2 linked regions of the Daphnia pulex genome follow. The protein of the gene in region 2 purifies or fractionates together with the protein of the main gene of each other region. This does not show direct contact. Links are inferred from orthologs where the notes say so. Each region holds a gene or a part of one and is shown on either strand. Other genes may lie near its edges.

What was found.
Region 1: the proteins of kinesin-like protein KIF7 (region 2) and suppressor of fused homolog purify together in Drosophila melanogaster (affinity purification with western blotting; 3 studies listed by BioGRID, with this or other methods). This does not show direct contact. The link is inferred for Daphnia pulex from reciprocal best matches to the Drosophila melanogaster genes cos and Su(fu).

The regions. Positions count from the first base shown.
Region 1 is NC_060019.1:8,216,166-8,223,458, forward strand, and holds suppressor of fused homolog, read left to right. Parts: upstream 1-2,593; 5' UTR 2,594-2,741; coding exon 2,742-2,959; intron 2,960-3,047; coding exon 3,048-3,140; intron 3,141-3,199; coding exon 3,200-3,613; intron 3,614-3,691; coding exon 3,692-3,780; intron 3,781-3,878; coding exon 3,879-4,173; intron 4,174-4,236; coding exon 4,237-4,444; intron 4,445-4,551; coding exon 4,552-4,623; 3' UTR 4,624-4,914; downstream 4,915-7,293. Other genes in the region: putative inorganic phosphate cotransporter, read right to left, coding at 1-84, 156-288, 363-515, 575-798, 862-949, 1,076-1,309, 1,682-1,872, 2,097-2,202; zinc finger and BTB domain-containing protein 4-like, read left to right, coding at 7,149-7,293.
Region 2 is NC_060028.1:3,195,786-3,202,886, forward strand, and holds the start of kinesin-like protein KIF7, read left to right. Parts: upstream 1-2,841; 5' UTR 2,842-3,045; coding exon 3,046-3,105; intron 3,106-3,188; coding exon 3,189-3,375; intron 3,376-3,457; coding exon 3,458-3,603; intron 3,604-3,688; coding exon 3,689-3,811; intron 3,812-3,891; coding exon 3,892-4,063; intron 4,064-4,130; coding exon 4,131-4,375; intron 4,376-4,459; coding exon 4,460-4,818; intron 4,819-4,881; coding exon 4,882-5,165; intron 5,166-5,225; coding exon 5,226-5,314; intron 5,315-5,395; coding exon 5,396-5,732; intron 5,733-5,832; coding exon 5,833-6,002; intron 6,003-6,074; coding exon 6,075-6,382; intron 6,383-6,459; coding exon 6,460-6,665; intron 6,666-6,748; coding exon 6,749-6,999; intron 7,000-7,064; coding exon 7,065-7,101. UniProt on the Drosophila melanogaster protein: Regulates cubitus interruptus (ci) processing by recruiting multiple kinases to promote its efficient phosphorylation.

The sequences.
Region 1 (7,293 bases), on a different chromosome or scaffold from region 2:
CCAAAGTAAGTAAAATTACGGCAGCTACAGTATCACATCCAATAAATCCAGCACCAATTAAAGCCAACGCGGGTCCGTATTGGCCTTTTATAATTGCAAAATTTGAAATTAATCTCGCAACTAAACTTGAACATCTCGTTTTTAAAAATAGTTACCAATAGAATTAAATATCTTCCGTACAGTAATAACTCTAAATATTTGTTTGGAAATGAGAATATCTGCGACTGTGCTGCAAAGGAGCGAGAAAAGCCACATCGCCAAGTAGGGAAGAGCGGACACGAAACTATTCTGTAAAATTCATTCAAATATCAAACGGATTAAGTGACTTTTTCACTTGGCCTTGTTTCAAATTTTATTTGTACCTGTTTCATGTTAAAATGTAAAATATTATCCATGTAACTCGGTAGTTCAGTCAACAGCGTGTAAAATCCCCAGGCGTGACCAACATTGGCCGCCCCTACAGCCCAGCAGGCTTTTGATCTAAACATGCATCGCCACGGTACGGGAGCACTTTTCTATATTAAGGAACAAAAATCAACCAGTCGACTTTTGATTAAAACTAATAAAGAATTACCCTTTTAATGGAGTCTTTCAAAGAACTGCAAATGTAATCTTTCTCCTCTTTGGATATTTTGAGATGTCGAGATGGAGAATCAGCAGTGAGGGGCATCCAAACGGCGAACCAGACGATACCCAAAGTCCCGAATACGTAAAACACTGTTGGCCAGCCGCCGTCGAATCCGTGCTCGCAAAGAATTCCCGAAAGAGGCAGTGTTATTACAGTCCCAAATTGTGCGCCTAGAAATTAGAATATAAACTTTAAAGAATTTCACGATGAACATTATACAAAATCCAACGTACCTGTGAAAACGAAAGCGGCCATTTTACTTCTCTCCCACGGTGGAGCCCATTCGGCAAGCATTGCGTACATCGCCGGGAACGTCACACCCTTAATGGATGTTGAAACAGTCAATTATTCGCTAGATTTAAGGATTTATTCGGCATGCGGAGGGCACCATGTCTGTTTCCCAGTGTGGCGCACTAGCAGCGCCTTTTTATAATAATATCGTAATACCTCTCCCAATCCCATCAAGACTCGACAGAAGATCAGCAAAGTGTCGCTTGCTCGAGCGGCGAACGGCGTCAACAAAGTGAAAAGTGAAGTACTGAGGATGCCATAACCAAGTAATTTTCGGCCGCCAAAAAGCTCCGCCAACCTCCCACCAGGGATCTGCGTTAAAACGTAGCCCCAGAAGAAGGAACCCAGGATGATTCCTTGTTTATATTCATCCCAGGCAAACTCTCCGTCCTTTTTAAAAAGAAAAGAAAAAATGTTGAAGATCATTAGTTTCGCATGGGATTATGTTTGACGGGGAATGACAAATAGACGGGCTTAAGCTGTGCACCAGACTGCAGACACGCGGCCATTTGCTCCAGACCATTTTCGTGCCTATATACAAAAAGCCAAGACTCGTGACAGGATTAACTCTCAGAGAGAACGAGGGAGATAGAATACGAGAGACAGGAAAAGGATGAACAAAGTCTAGCGAAAGCTTCCAATCCATCATCTCAGAAGAAAAGACCCAGGGGCATCGCGTACAAGGGGCCGAGTAGGGTGACTAGTCTTAGATCCCCTAGTGACTTTGCAATTATGTTTGACATTTTTTTTAGAGTCATTTACCTTTACTATTCCGGATTGGCTCTCTCCTGGAGTCTCTGGGCAGATATCCACCGCGGTTTGATTGATGTGTGGGATAGCGCTCTGATTGACCATCGCTACGATCGTCACGGACAAATTCACTCTCATGGCATAGACATTGGCAAATCCCAAGAATCCTAGCAAGACTAGGGTATGTCTAGTCCCCCAGCATCCTGTTAGTAATAGAAAAATGTATTTCTTTTGTAATATTTTCTATCTAGGAATGCAAGAAGTTTGAAAAGTATTAAAACACTCGTAAAACAACTCCTAGAAACATTGTCTGTGGTTAACAAAGCAGTCACTTGAAGTTTCCTTTGTAGATAAGGAAACCAACATGCAGGACAACATAACCCTGCACATGCGGGTAAAGGATGCTCCTATATCGACAGTTTTATACCTTGGTCTTCGTCATCGTGGGGAACGAGTCGCAACTTTTCATTTACTGTTTCATTTTCGTCTACTTCGTGTTGTTCTGTTACTGGGATACTAGTTTGCTGCACCATTATTCACAAATTGCACTAATAAAGGAGGGTTGGTAATGTTAAACTTTTAAAAGAAATGAGCCATTGGTGTGATTGTGCAAGGAGAGAACGGGAGTAGGTTTTGTGTGCGTGTGGGTGGTATTTTTTGTATAGTTGGAATGTAAATAAAAATATTAGCAGACCGATCGATGACACGTCGCAATAGCCTGTGGCTCTACTCCTAGATGTCTCTTATTGATTGAATGATGAAAAATAAATTTCACTTAGCTAAAAAGTCAGTATAATTTGTATAGTAAATAATACTATAGAATTTATTTATCCCTAAAAATGAAAATAAGGCTGCCCTGATAGTCTTCTTTATTTCAATTTTAATTTCACTAAAAAGATAAAAATCAACGATGACATTAGTAACTAGTGCTGCCAAATCAACTGGTGGCGAAGCATTGTTACAAAAATTCCTCTGCTATACACAATTGTTTGGAAATGGAGTGAAGTTTTGGTTTAGTTGATTGACATTTATTGTTATTTATTAGTAGATTGTGATAATAAAAGACACAACAATGCAGAAAGCACAAATGCATGTCGTCGCAAACACGTGTGCAACGGGAAATGTGGCGAGTGTTGCCAGCAACTTTGGTCCCGAATCTGGTCCCAATGACGGTCAACAATTGATGCTTTCTTCTTCAGCATTGGGATTGGAAATATTGTATGAATCATGTAAACAAGTGTACCCTCTTCAACCAAATCCATTGCAAGTGACAGCGTTCATCAAATATTGGTGAGTACTCGATACCTTGCTGATGTCCGATCAACACTTGGGAGTGTGCCCAATTGCTGCGAATACTTACCCTGATTATGAATTACAGGCTTGGTGGTCCAGATCCTCTAGACTATATAAGCATGTATGATCATCCTGGAATCCCAGAACTTCACATCCCTCCACATTGGCATTATATCAGGTATACATTGACACTTAAATTGTTACCAAGCACGACTTGATTATTTCGTTTCACATCAGTTTTGGCCTGACAGACTTGCACGGTGATGGCAGAGTTCACGAGCCTTCAGGACCAGAGTTTCCCAGTGGTTTTGGTTTTGAGCTGACTTTCCGCCTAGCCAAAAAGTCTGGTGAAGCCACACCACCCACATGGCCAGCAGCTCTGTTACAGGCCCTTGCCAAGTATGTTTTCCACACTGGTAACTCTTTCTTCGCTGGTGACCACGTCTCCTGGCATTGTCCTCTGGACGGATCGGATTTTGAATGTCGCTTGCAACACATGCTCCTGGCGGAGGATCTTTTGTTACCGCCAGTCCAAGGGCCATTAGGTTCCGTCAAGTTTCTGCAAGTCGTCGCCGTTACGGAGGAAGAGTTGCAAGTTTCCCAGCACTGGAATGGAACTAGCGTGTTGGAACTTTTGCGACGAGTTCCCTCGTAATATCCCCCGCTTCACAATAACTCTAGAGAATAGCCAACAAAAAAAGTTGTATTGATTTGCCCATTTTTACACAGTGCCGGAGGCCCTTGGCTTGTTGCCGACATGCAGCGTCAGTTATCGCTGTTTGAATTGCAGCCCTCCTTCCGCCGCGAAGTCGAACATGGTAAGGAGAAAAAGTTGCGCCGCTCCTCACAGGAGCCGTTTGTAAAAGTTTATTTATAGAGAGAGAATCCGATGTATATTCTGCTTCCATGTTTTTAGGGATCGATCGTGACGGATGCTCGTTGTCGGGCGTCAGCGCTCGCTGCCACTGGGAGGAGAGAAAAGTCACTTCGAAAACTGGTTCGGCTTGGAGGAGTCCGGAAGCTGAGGACGACTCTAGTAGTCAGGATGACGAAGAAGATGAACCGGAAGCTGGAGCGACCCTCGGGCGTCATCGACCGGCCGACGGTGAACCAACCATCAACGGCGAAATCTGGCCCATTCGACGACTCTACAAGGGTGTCCATTTGACGCTCAACTTGGAAGCTGCTTCCCTCCTGCCCGTCGTTCTTCGGTAACCCTACCAGTTGATTTCCATTGTCAGTCTTTCCTTATTTTCTAAATTGTTTATTATTAGGGGACGACTTCGACACGATCGGCATTTTACCTTCAAAGCAGTGGCCGGCGAAACGGCGGTGACGCTCCTGACGGGCAGAGTGGGAGGTGCATTGGCTTCACCGTCAGCTCCTCTCGTAGCCAAAGGTCCTTGGCTTCAGATCCTCGTCGATTCCGAGTGGTTAGCCAAACTAGAATCTGATTTGGCTTGCCTCCAGCAGCCCGATGGGGTGATTATATTTCTTTTTGATGAAATTCATCTCGAATGCATTGCCAATTTTGTGTGTGTAATAATCAAAACAATTTTTTTTTACTCTCTCCCCTATTTTATAAAAAGGTGGTGGTTCCCAAAACGTTTTGCTGGTTCGACCGACAGATGGCGTTGACGGTAGTTCCCGATGAATTATGACGACTGTATAAAAAAAAAGTCTTGTCTTTCTCAACTTTTTTTTCTTCTTTTATTTTTTTTCATGTTGTTTTCCTTCTTTTTCCCACCCCTTTTCTTTATCTATTCTTTTTCTTTTTTTACAATTGTAAACTGTAACCACGTGCCTTTATTATTATTCCTCGTGCTCGCGCGTGGGATGGAACCTGACCTGCGTGAATCTCCTTTTCTCTGGAAAAAAACAAAACGAAATATCTCGGGCGGATGTTGACGGAAGCTGCGTGTTTGCTGCAATTATAATGACGTTGAAAACTTGCCAAAAATGCGTTTTTCCAATCTTGTCTATTTATAGAAAAAGGCACACACACACACGAGGTGTCGAATCTGTGTGTTCATTTCGTCTACACTCTTTTTCTATTTCTTTCTTAAAAGCCTTTGGCTGTCGTGCAAAAAAGGACTGGGCAGCAGCCGAATCCTTGAAAAAGTTCTCCTCTCCCAGCACAGCCTTTTAGTCGTTGGACGCTTTTTTTGGATACACGGCCGCTCACGCAGGGAAAAGCGACCGGAGGTGGCGGCGGCCGGGTCCTCTCAAGCGTAATTAAAAGCGCAGTGGTCATCTCTTTTTTTTTTTAATTCTTTTTTTTGACGCAGAGTATATTTTGTTAGTTTTCATCTTTTGGCCTTCGGGAGGGGAAAATGAGCAGCGTGATGCAACAACAATTTCTTTTCAAAACTCATTGTTGTTTGCATTTAGCAGCTGAGCTAAAAGGGAATTTTGTGTTTTTTTTTCACGAAGGCCAAAAAGTCGGATGAGGGTAGAAAGAAGAAGAAGAGAAAAAAGGTTCACGGCATCGATCGGACTGGCGGGCCAGTCTCCCTGGACCCTGCGCCGATGATGAAGGAAGAGAAAAAAAAGAAGAGGAGGGGGAGTTGATTCTCACACACGTACAGACGAACGAACCCTGGTGCTCTTAACGCAGACGGGGAGGGGGAGAGCCTATCAAGAACGAAAAGAAGGAAGAAGAAGAAGAAGAAGGAAAAGAAGAAGAAGAAGAAGAAGAAAAAAGAGCGGATGCTGAGAGAAAAAGAAAGAAGGGAGGGGGGAGAGAACATGGCCGACTCCCGGCAGGAGGGCGGCCACCTCCTCCCGTTGGGGTGGAAAGAAAGTGGGAGGTTGGGGCGGGCGGCACGCGGGGGCCCCTCCGACCTTTTTTTTCTTCTTCTACGCGTTCAGACTTTAAGAGTCAACAATGAACTTGATTCTCACCCAATCATCTCGTAAGAAAAGAAGAATTTCCTTATTTAAAATAAAAGAAAAAAGTTGTTTTATGTTTTTCGCATTTTTTAATCCCGCGGGAAAATGTTGGACATACCATCAAAAAAGGGAAAATTGGGTTGTGTGTCGTGAGAGAAAAAAACATGTCGCTCATCTCTTATAAAGACGCACATATACACGCACTTGACGGGTGGAAAAAAAGAAAAACAAGACGACGCCATTTCGTTTTTTTTGAAAATAGATGCGTGTAGAGTCGGTCGGTCCTCCTCCTCCCTTTTGGCCAGCAGCAGCAGGACATCCTTATTTTCATCTGGTCGTTCCTCCATCCACTTGTTTTTACCGTCGATTCTCTCATTCTCGCCGTTTTCCGACGTAGTACACGTCTCTCCGGGTCGGCCAGACTTAACCTTGGGAGAACACACAACCGCGTTATAGACGAAACGCAAGACTTTTAAGAAGAAGAAGAAGGTGTCTTGTTGCCATTGTAAATTTAGACGACCAACTGGTGAGCAACTTTTTCGTTGGCTGACTTTAAGATTAATTTAGCGACAACTGGAAATGTACTCGGCAGGTGTCCACCACATTTCTTAGGTCATCTTTTATTGAAAATGATAACCCAAAAACAGATCTGACATGATAAAAAAAAATTAAAAACAAAAACAAAACTAAACATGTGTGTGTTAATCGTGTTTTGGCTTCCCCATTCTGGAATTTTTTTGTTTCATTTATTTTTCAATTCTTTTTTATTCCAAAACATTTTTTTATTTCATTTCTTTTTGTGAGCGATATCTATCGATAGTTAACAGACGACGATTTTTTTTTCAGCCCCTCCTCCCCCCCCCCCTAAAGAAGGAGGTTCTTTTTTCACACACTAGACTTTTGCTGAGTAGTGCCGCTAGAGGAGCTTCAGTCTAGTTGAAGCTTTCCGTGCGGTGAGGTCGCGGCCGTCGCCTACTCCCAAACTATTTTTACGATTGGCGCCAAACGTTATTTTTATTTTTCCACACACACACAACAACAACCAGCGCAGTGAGAGCGTGTGTGCCAGTGAAACCCTTGAAAAATTATTTTTTATTTTTCAAATTCTTCTGGTTACAAGAAACGTGTTTTTGTGTGTGGATGCAGGTGCACCCGACATGCTGGTGTGTGTACCATGTGCGTGAGTGTCAAGTGAAATCGGGCACGTGCTTACCTCTCTCGGATTTTGAGATTTCTGCGGACTAATTATTAGCCAAAATCAATCGACGATTTGGTTCTGGTCCGAGTGAATAAAATGCCAGCAGCGGCAGCGATCGGTCCCGATGGGCAGATTATGCGCCCGAGAAAGGGTCGACCGCCCAAAGGTGGTTACCCGTATCCGTATCCGGCCTCGACCGATCCCGCCCGCACCATCTACATCGGCAAGAACAACGCCCGCC
Region 2 (7,101 bases):
TGTTGTCATTTATCAAGGAAGCATTTTAAACTTTTCACCATTAACAAGCTAACCATTACGTTTACACTAGAAGATGATAATAGAGGCACCTGTTCATATTTCATGGTAAGTGACAGCTTAAGTTTTTCTACCTCACCTTTGTTTGTTTACTTCCTTTATATCTGTAGTGCTAGACGCTACCGTTATAAGCTCGTGTTGTTTGTTAGCTGGAAAAAACGTGGAAAAGTTGTTGGGTTAAAAAATTTTCTAAGGTTTTTCTATAGATCACAAATTTATCATCTTGCAGTCTTAGTTAAAAATGTTCCGTTGCAAAAATTATGAAAAATGTGGGAAAGCATCCAGAAAAACTACCAGTTCAATTATCATTATAAAAATTGCTTGATCGACAGAGTCTGCCCCATCTGCCTTACACGACCTGTATTCAAATCCGAATCGGGGTTTAAGAGCCATGCAAAAATTCATAAGGTATGATTTTTTATTGTTTACTTTTATTTTTAGTTCTAATTACTTTTGAGGAATTTGACAGTATTAATGTACATTTCTGTTAAATATGGGGGGGGGTCAATAATGTAGGATAATGTTTTTCCTGAAATAATTCGTTGCGGACAAGAAATTGAGTTGCCGGCGGAACAGATTCCATTCAATACGGATGTTGTTTCTGAAGTTGTTGCTCTTGTTGCCGGTGTTGCGGTTGCAGATGCGGCCATTGTTTGCCATGAAGAGGCAGTCAACGAATTTGATTGCGAAGTTGGTGTTAGGGATCTTTGCGATAGATCTTTTTTATGTTTACATGCAATAATGAACCTTATTGTATCTAATTTACCTTATTAATTTACGTTTCAATCAATTGCTTCATCAAGAGCAGCGAAGTTCAAGATGGGGAGGTGTATTTGGCAAAGGTGTCCGACGGAGAATGCGAAAGAAGACCAAATAGAAAAACACTACCGAAATATAGAGGATGGCTACGTTAATCTTGTAAGTAATTTATGGGTAAGTTATTTTTTTTTTGTTTTTGGGTTATTATATTCAATGTTGTGTTTTTATAGGTTTCGAATTACGAGAAATTTGTGGAGAGCACTACCAAGGTCAAGAACAAATTTTGTCAACAAGAAGAGCGTTTTGTGGAACTAAACCAACATCTTGGGGAAATTTTAATCTTTATCGAATTTTAATCTTGATCAACGTCAAGACCTAAGTGATCAGTATTTTATGATAAAACGTTTTTTTATTAACCTTGGAGGGTTGTGATGCTTTACACAAATTTATGGTCGCAAATTATCATTGTCTACGAGCTGATGATTTGTCTGAAGACAATGAATATGTACTGGACTTGGACTTCAGTGTTTCGTCTATACGTCAGTCTAATAGATAGAATTTGTATGAAGTGTTCAACGAAACTGGTATTCAAAAGCGAATGTGGCTTCGATAAATGCACAAGGTATATCTCTTATGTTTTCTTTCATTTTATTATTTTTTACTTGAACAACGTTTCTTATTGTTAACAATTTAGGAATGTACATATCCTCAAATTTTTCACTACGGAATAGGTGATCCTGTTTATATTCCATATGAAAGAACTACTTTTGAACCTCCTGTACTTGTACCTGTATCTGCACTAGAAACTTTGCCTGTTGGAAATTTCAAGGAAGCAGAGGAAGAAGTTTCTTGTATGGATGTTGAAGATGTGGACGATGGCGTAGGGGAAGTAGCTGAAATTGAAGAAGAAGACGTCGTCACCAGTCAACAATTGGAGAATGGCATGGCCAAATTGGTATTTTTTTATTGTTTTTTACTGTGTAATGTCATTATTTCTAATATTAAATTTTTTTAGGTCAACATGTACAATGCTTTTTTCGAACAATCGAGAAAAATGAGTAAGCAGTTCCGCTAAAAGAATGATGACATTCAAAAACTTAAACAGTTTCTTGAAGCTGAAAAGCAAAGGTAATCGTGATTAATTTTTTTCGCAATTTTAATTTCCTAATAATTCCATTTTTTTTTAGATTAATGCAGTGAATGGATGACGAGGAGTGGGAGGTAAAGGCTGTCCTGGACGACGAACAACATGACGGAGTCGAGTATTTTAAAATATGTGTAAGGTGCAAAGCTAAGTAGCAGTTGCCATTAAAAAATGGTAAACTTGGAAATCTAGCCGCTGCGCTTTCTTTTTGAGGTGTTGGTAAAGTGCAGGGTGCAGGTGCAGGTTAGACGGTGGGTAAAGTGCGGAACCCGGAGTGCAGGGTGCGGCGTGCAGGTAGGTGGGTAAAATGCAGGCCCAAATGCTGCTCACAGAAAGTGCAGGTTAGGTTGGTTGAGTGGAGGTTTAGATGTGGCATGAAGTTATTATTTTGACCACTAGGTGGCTGCCATTTTTATATTGAACTTTTTTGGAGTTTTGTATTGAACTTTTTTTGGGTTTTATATTGACTTTTTTGGTTTTTATATTAACTTTTTGTTTTTTATATTACTCTTTTTGGTTTTTATGTAATACTTTTTACCAGTTTTTATATTGAATTTTTTTATTTTTATATTCTTTTCTGTTTTATGTATTGATATTTTGAAAAAAAATTTATATTGAAAAAGTGGCGGTTTTGGGCCCTCATAATTCAGCGCGCAACAGAGTGTAGACAATAAATAAAAAGTACACGCAAATGGATAATAACTGACTGAAGGCAGTCAAACATAAAATTTCACTGCACATTGCACTTTTCCTAACCTGCATTTTAGTGTAGAATTCTAAACCTGTATTTTACCAAGGGAGCCGCTCGGTTGGGGAAAGTGCAGGGCCCCTGCACTCCGGGTTCCGCTTTTTACCCACCGTCCAACCTGCACCTGCACCCTGCACTTTACGGACACCCTTCTTTTTTTGACATTTAAAGTAAAAGGGAAAAGGTGTTGTTGTTTCTGTTTCCTTGAAAATAATAATATACAATTACGTCAGGTGTTGTGTGATCATCTTTTCCTACTGTCAGTTGTGCGATCCGAATTGTTAATTGGTTAATTTATCCAACAAGAACTATTCTTAACTGTATTATCAATGTCGTGATGCTTTTCAGCGCTAGTCAAGACAGGGATTTACAAGCCCGAGTTCAACTCGTAACCCGGGTAAACAAGAACTTTAACCATTTTTTTTTTCATTAAGTAATTGTATTTCAACCCATTGTTCACAATTTTTGAAATTTAACTAGATTCGTTCACTACAAACAACTGATCATGTTTTACCAACACCATATTTTCAAATTGATCCATCCCATGGAACAATTGTGCTGGGAAACAATCGGTTATTTCATTTGGGCAATGTTCTCCCATTTGATTGTCCTCAACAGGCAATATTCAAAGGATATGTCGAGCCAATTGTCAATGCTTGTTTTGATGGTCTGTTAAATAATTTAAGAAAAGAACTGTTATGCAACTTCTTATACTTTTAACGTCATCTTATATGGTATTGGTATGTCAGGTTTCAACATAACTGTAATAGCGTATGGACAAACTGGATCTGGGAAAACATTTACAATATTTGGACCTGGATTGCTCTACACCATGAATGAATCTGATTTTGGTATGGTTCCACGGACTGTTCGTAACTTGTTTTACAAAGCTAAAGTAAACAGTTTGAAGTAATAAATATGTGAAGATTAAATAACTAAATTGGTTTTTGTTTGATATTTTGGGAATTTTTTTTAATTAGGAATACCCCGGAAGACAGATCTCTATCCAAGCAAGCTATTTAGAAATCTATGATGAAGAAATTCATGATCTTCTGAGTATGGAACCCTTTCATGGTGAAATTACTGTACAAGAAGATCAAAATGTATTATTTAAAAAAAAAAAAAATTTAAATGTGAAATTGCTGATAATAGCAATGCTATAATTATTACATATTGAATTTAGGGAGAAATCATCATCACTGGAGCAACACAAATGGAATGTCATACCATTGATGATGTATTTAGCTGTCTTGAAACTGGTCTGGCTTTAAGACATACTGGGCCCATGTTAAATCAACTCTCAAGTAGATCCCATGGAATTTTCACACTCTATATGCAACAGGCATGGACACAAGGTTGACTACTTTTCTTTATTCTTTTGTTGATAATTTTCTCAATGAAACTTGACATATTTTCTTTCAGATGGATGTTTGTATGAAGTGTGTTCTAAACTCCATTTTGTCGACTTGGCTGGATCGGAAAGACTTGGCCTCGGTGTTACCAGTAATCATGGAAACGACGATACACAACTAACAGGATTTCAGGAACCATTTTCCATTAATTCTGGCCTTCTTGCGTTAAGTAATGTCACGGCTGCATTGGGTGATCCTAGAAGAAAAGCTAGCCACGTGCCTTATTGGGATTCGAAATTAACCTACATTCTGAAAGTGTGTTTATTTTGTCAAAAACATTTCTTTTTCACTCTCTCTTTTGGTTACGATCTAACTGTGCATTTAAATTTATTCATGTAGGATTCACTGGGTGGTAATGCCTTCACCTTGATGATTGTGTGCCTTTCTCCTTCGGCTTCTGATTTGGAAGAGACGACGAATACGTTGAAGTTCGCATCAAGGGCAGCAAACATTTGTAATCGCCCAGTAGCGAATGTCCGCCTTACACCGATAGCTAATATTCCTTTGATGGCAATGGGCATAAACGCTCGCCCTTTTAATTTGGCTGGTGTGACGGAACTTGTGTCACCGCCTAACATTCCGCAATTTCAAATGAATGAAACTCCATTTACTTGTCAAGCTAATCCTATGAGGGACAATGAAGAAAATCGATCTGTATATCATGATCCTGAACAAACAGACGGAGATGAAGTTTTTAGGTCAGACTTTTAAATTTATAAATTGAAGCTTTCATTCAGCAATTGCATTTCTCTTTCCCATAGATTACGATTCGCAGCAAGTCAGTGGCAATTACTGGTGACCAACGCCGAAACACTTTTAAATGAGTTGGCTGCATCTGGGTTGCTTGGAAATGACACCAAAAACAAAATAGAATCTTGGCTTTGTTTGAAAGAGGAATACGCAAACTGTATTGATCCCGATTTGTTAACCATCAAACCGCGAAACAGAATTCAGAGTGATACCGATGGCAGTCACCTGACAGACTTGCCTATCACAACAAGCATATTTCACACCAGTGGTGAATCTAAAACACTCCATGTCATTGGTAACTAAATCTTTAGTGTGTGCGTGTGATAGTCGTTTTAACTATTATATTAATTTGTAGAAGAGGTATCCGAGCCCACTCCAACCCGTGAACTTTCTTCTGAACTGAGTAACAGGCATGATCGGTCGTCCATAGACTCGTCATCTGATGTAAGAACGGGAATAATGCAGCATTCTGTTTAACATAAAAAAACGTAAAATGAAAATATCGTATAATTTCTTTCATATTAGGGGTCTCACTTTACGGAGCAACTGGATATATTAAGGCAGCAATTTAGAGAAACAACTGACCGTTTAATCTCAAGCATCGAGTCAATGTATGATAACGCAACGTCTTTAGAATGGGGTGCATCAAATCCTATTGATTTATCTCAACACGCTGAATTTGACCGCGAACAATCAACTAGCAATTATAAAAGTGGGAATACCAGTCCGAAACCTCTAAGAACTGGTCGAAGAGTTAGTATATTCGGTCTTTCAAATGCAGTAGACCAACAGCCTCTAATAGGTGAAACTCGTTTATCAACTCCAGAATCTGTAAATAATGAATCATCATCTAATCATCCAAGTAAGTACTAAGTAGTTGAATCAGTTTTGAATTTTCAACCTATAGTCGATGATATCTTATATTTTTTTAAACACTAAACATCTTTGTTGCTTCTTGGCAGTTGAAGGGAGCCTGAAAGTCGGAGGCGATGCGGAAGACGATGCATGTCGAGAAATGCGACATTCTGCTGAGATTTCAGAAAAACGACAACTCCTTACATGGAAAACGAACAAACAACTTAAAAAAGCTCACCAAACCCTTGAGGAGCTCAAACGGACAGTTTCTTTGAAGGTTAGCTTGCCGATCTGACGTTGATCTCCCCAGTAATTTTTAACTATCTTTATTATTATTTTCTTTTTAAAGGAGGAATATGTGGATTTTACTCGTGACAGCAAAGAAAACGAACAGACAAAAACTCACCAGGAGAAAATTCAGAAATCGCTTAAGCAGGATAGGGTCCCTCATCAATCCGATCTAAATATTCCACCCCGCCATAGGAAACAGTCAGAAGACAACAGTGATGAATGCAGCAGTCCCATCGAACAAGAAAGCGACAACGTCACTGACGGTGAACGAACAATCGGCCAACAGCGGGCTGAGATTATACGCTTTGAACACTGTTTAAAAAACATGGCAGAGTTGCTAGATCTAACTGCGCGGGCTCCTCGGAAGTAATTGCATTTTACATTTGTGAAATTCTATGGATCGTTTGACTCAACTAATGGTACTTTATTTATTCCCATTTTAGAGTTGGCGAACTGGAGCGAAGTCTGTCCATTATGAAGGACCAGCAATCGGTTCTAAAGGAGCAGCTTCGTCAAGAGAACGAGAAGAAAAAAGAGTTGAAACAAGAAATAGAAAAGGATCATGTGCGTATAGTTGAACTTGAACGTCAGCTACAGGAACAACGAGTTAGTTCCGAAATGCGTTTCCTTGAACTTTGCAGTGATAAAGGTAGATTTAAAAAAATAATAATAATCTAATATTCGCCCATATTATATAATAACACGGCAATTTTCTTTTGTTTGGACTCGCAGACGGCACACCTGGTGAATCTGAATTGGAGCACAAGTGGCGCTGGCTGGTAGCAGAGGAGGAACGTTTGGTCGAACTGCGTACAGCCATAACGTGGCGCTCCGAAGAACTAGAAGAGAAGCAGAGTATACTGGAAAAAAGGGAAATAGCCCTTGACAAATCGAAAAATCAAAGCGAAACCGAAAAGAGCCACACAAGTTCCATCGGCGATGTAGGAAGCAAGCGGAAAAAAGATATGGAGTCAAATGATAAAGTAATTGTTCTACTAATTACACATCTTGCGTAACAATTCTAACCCTTTTCTTCCATCAAATTTAGATCGTTCAAACATCAGGCAGTTCGTTTCTTAAATATA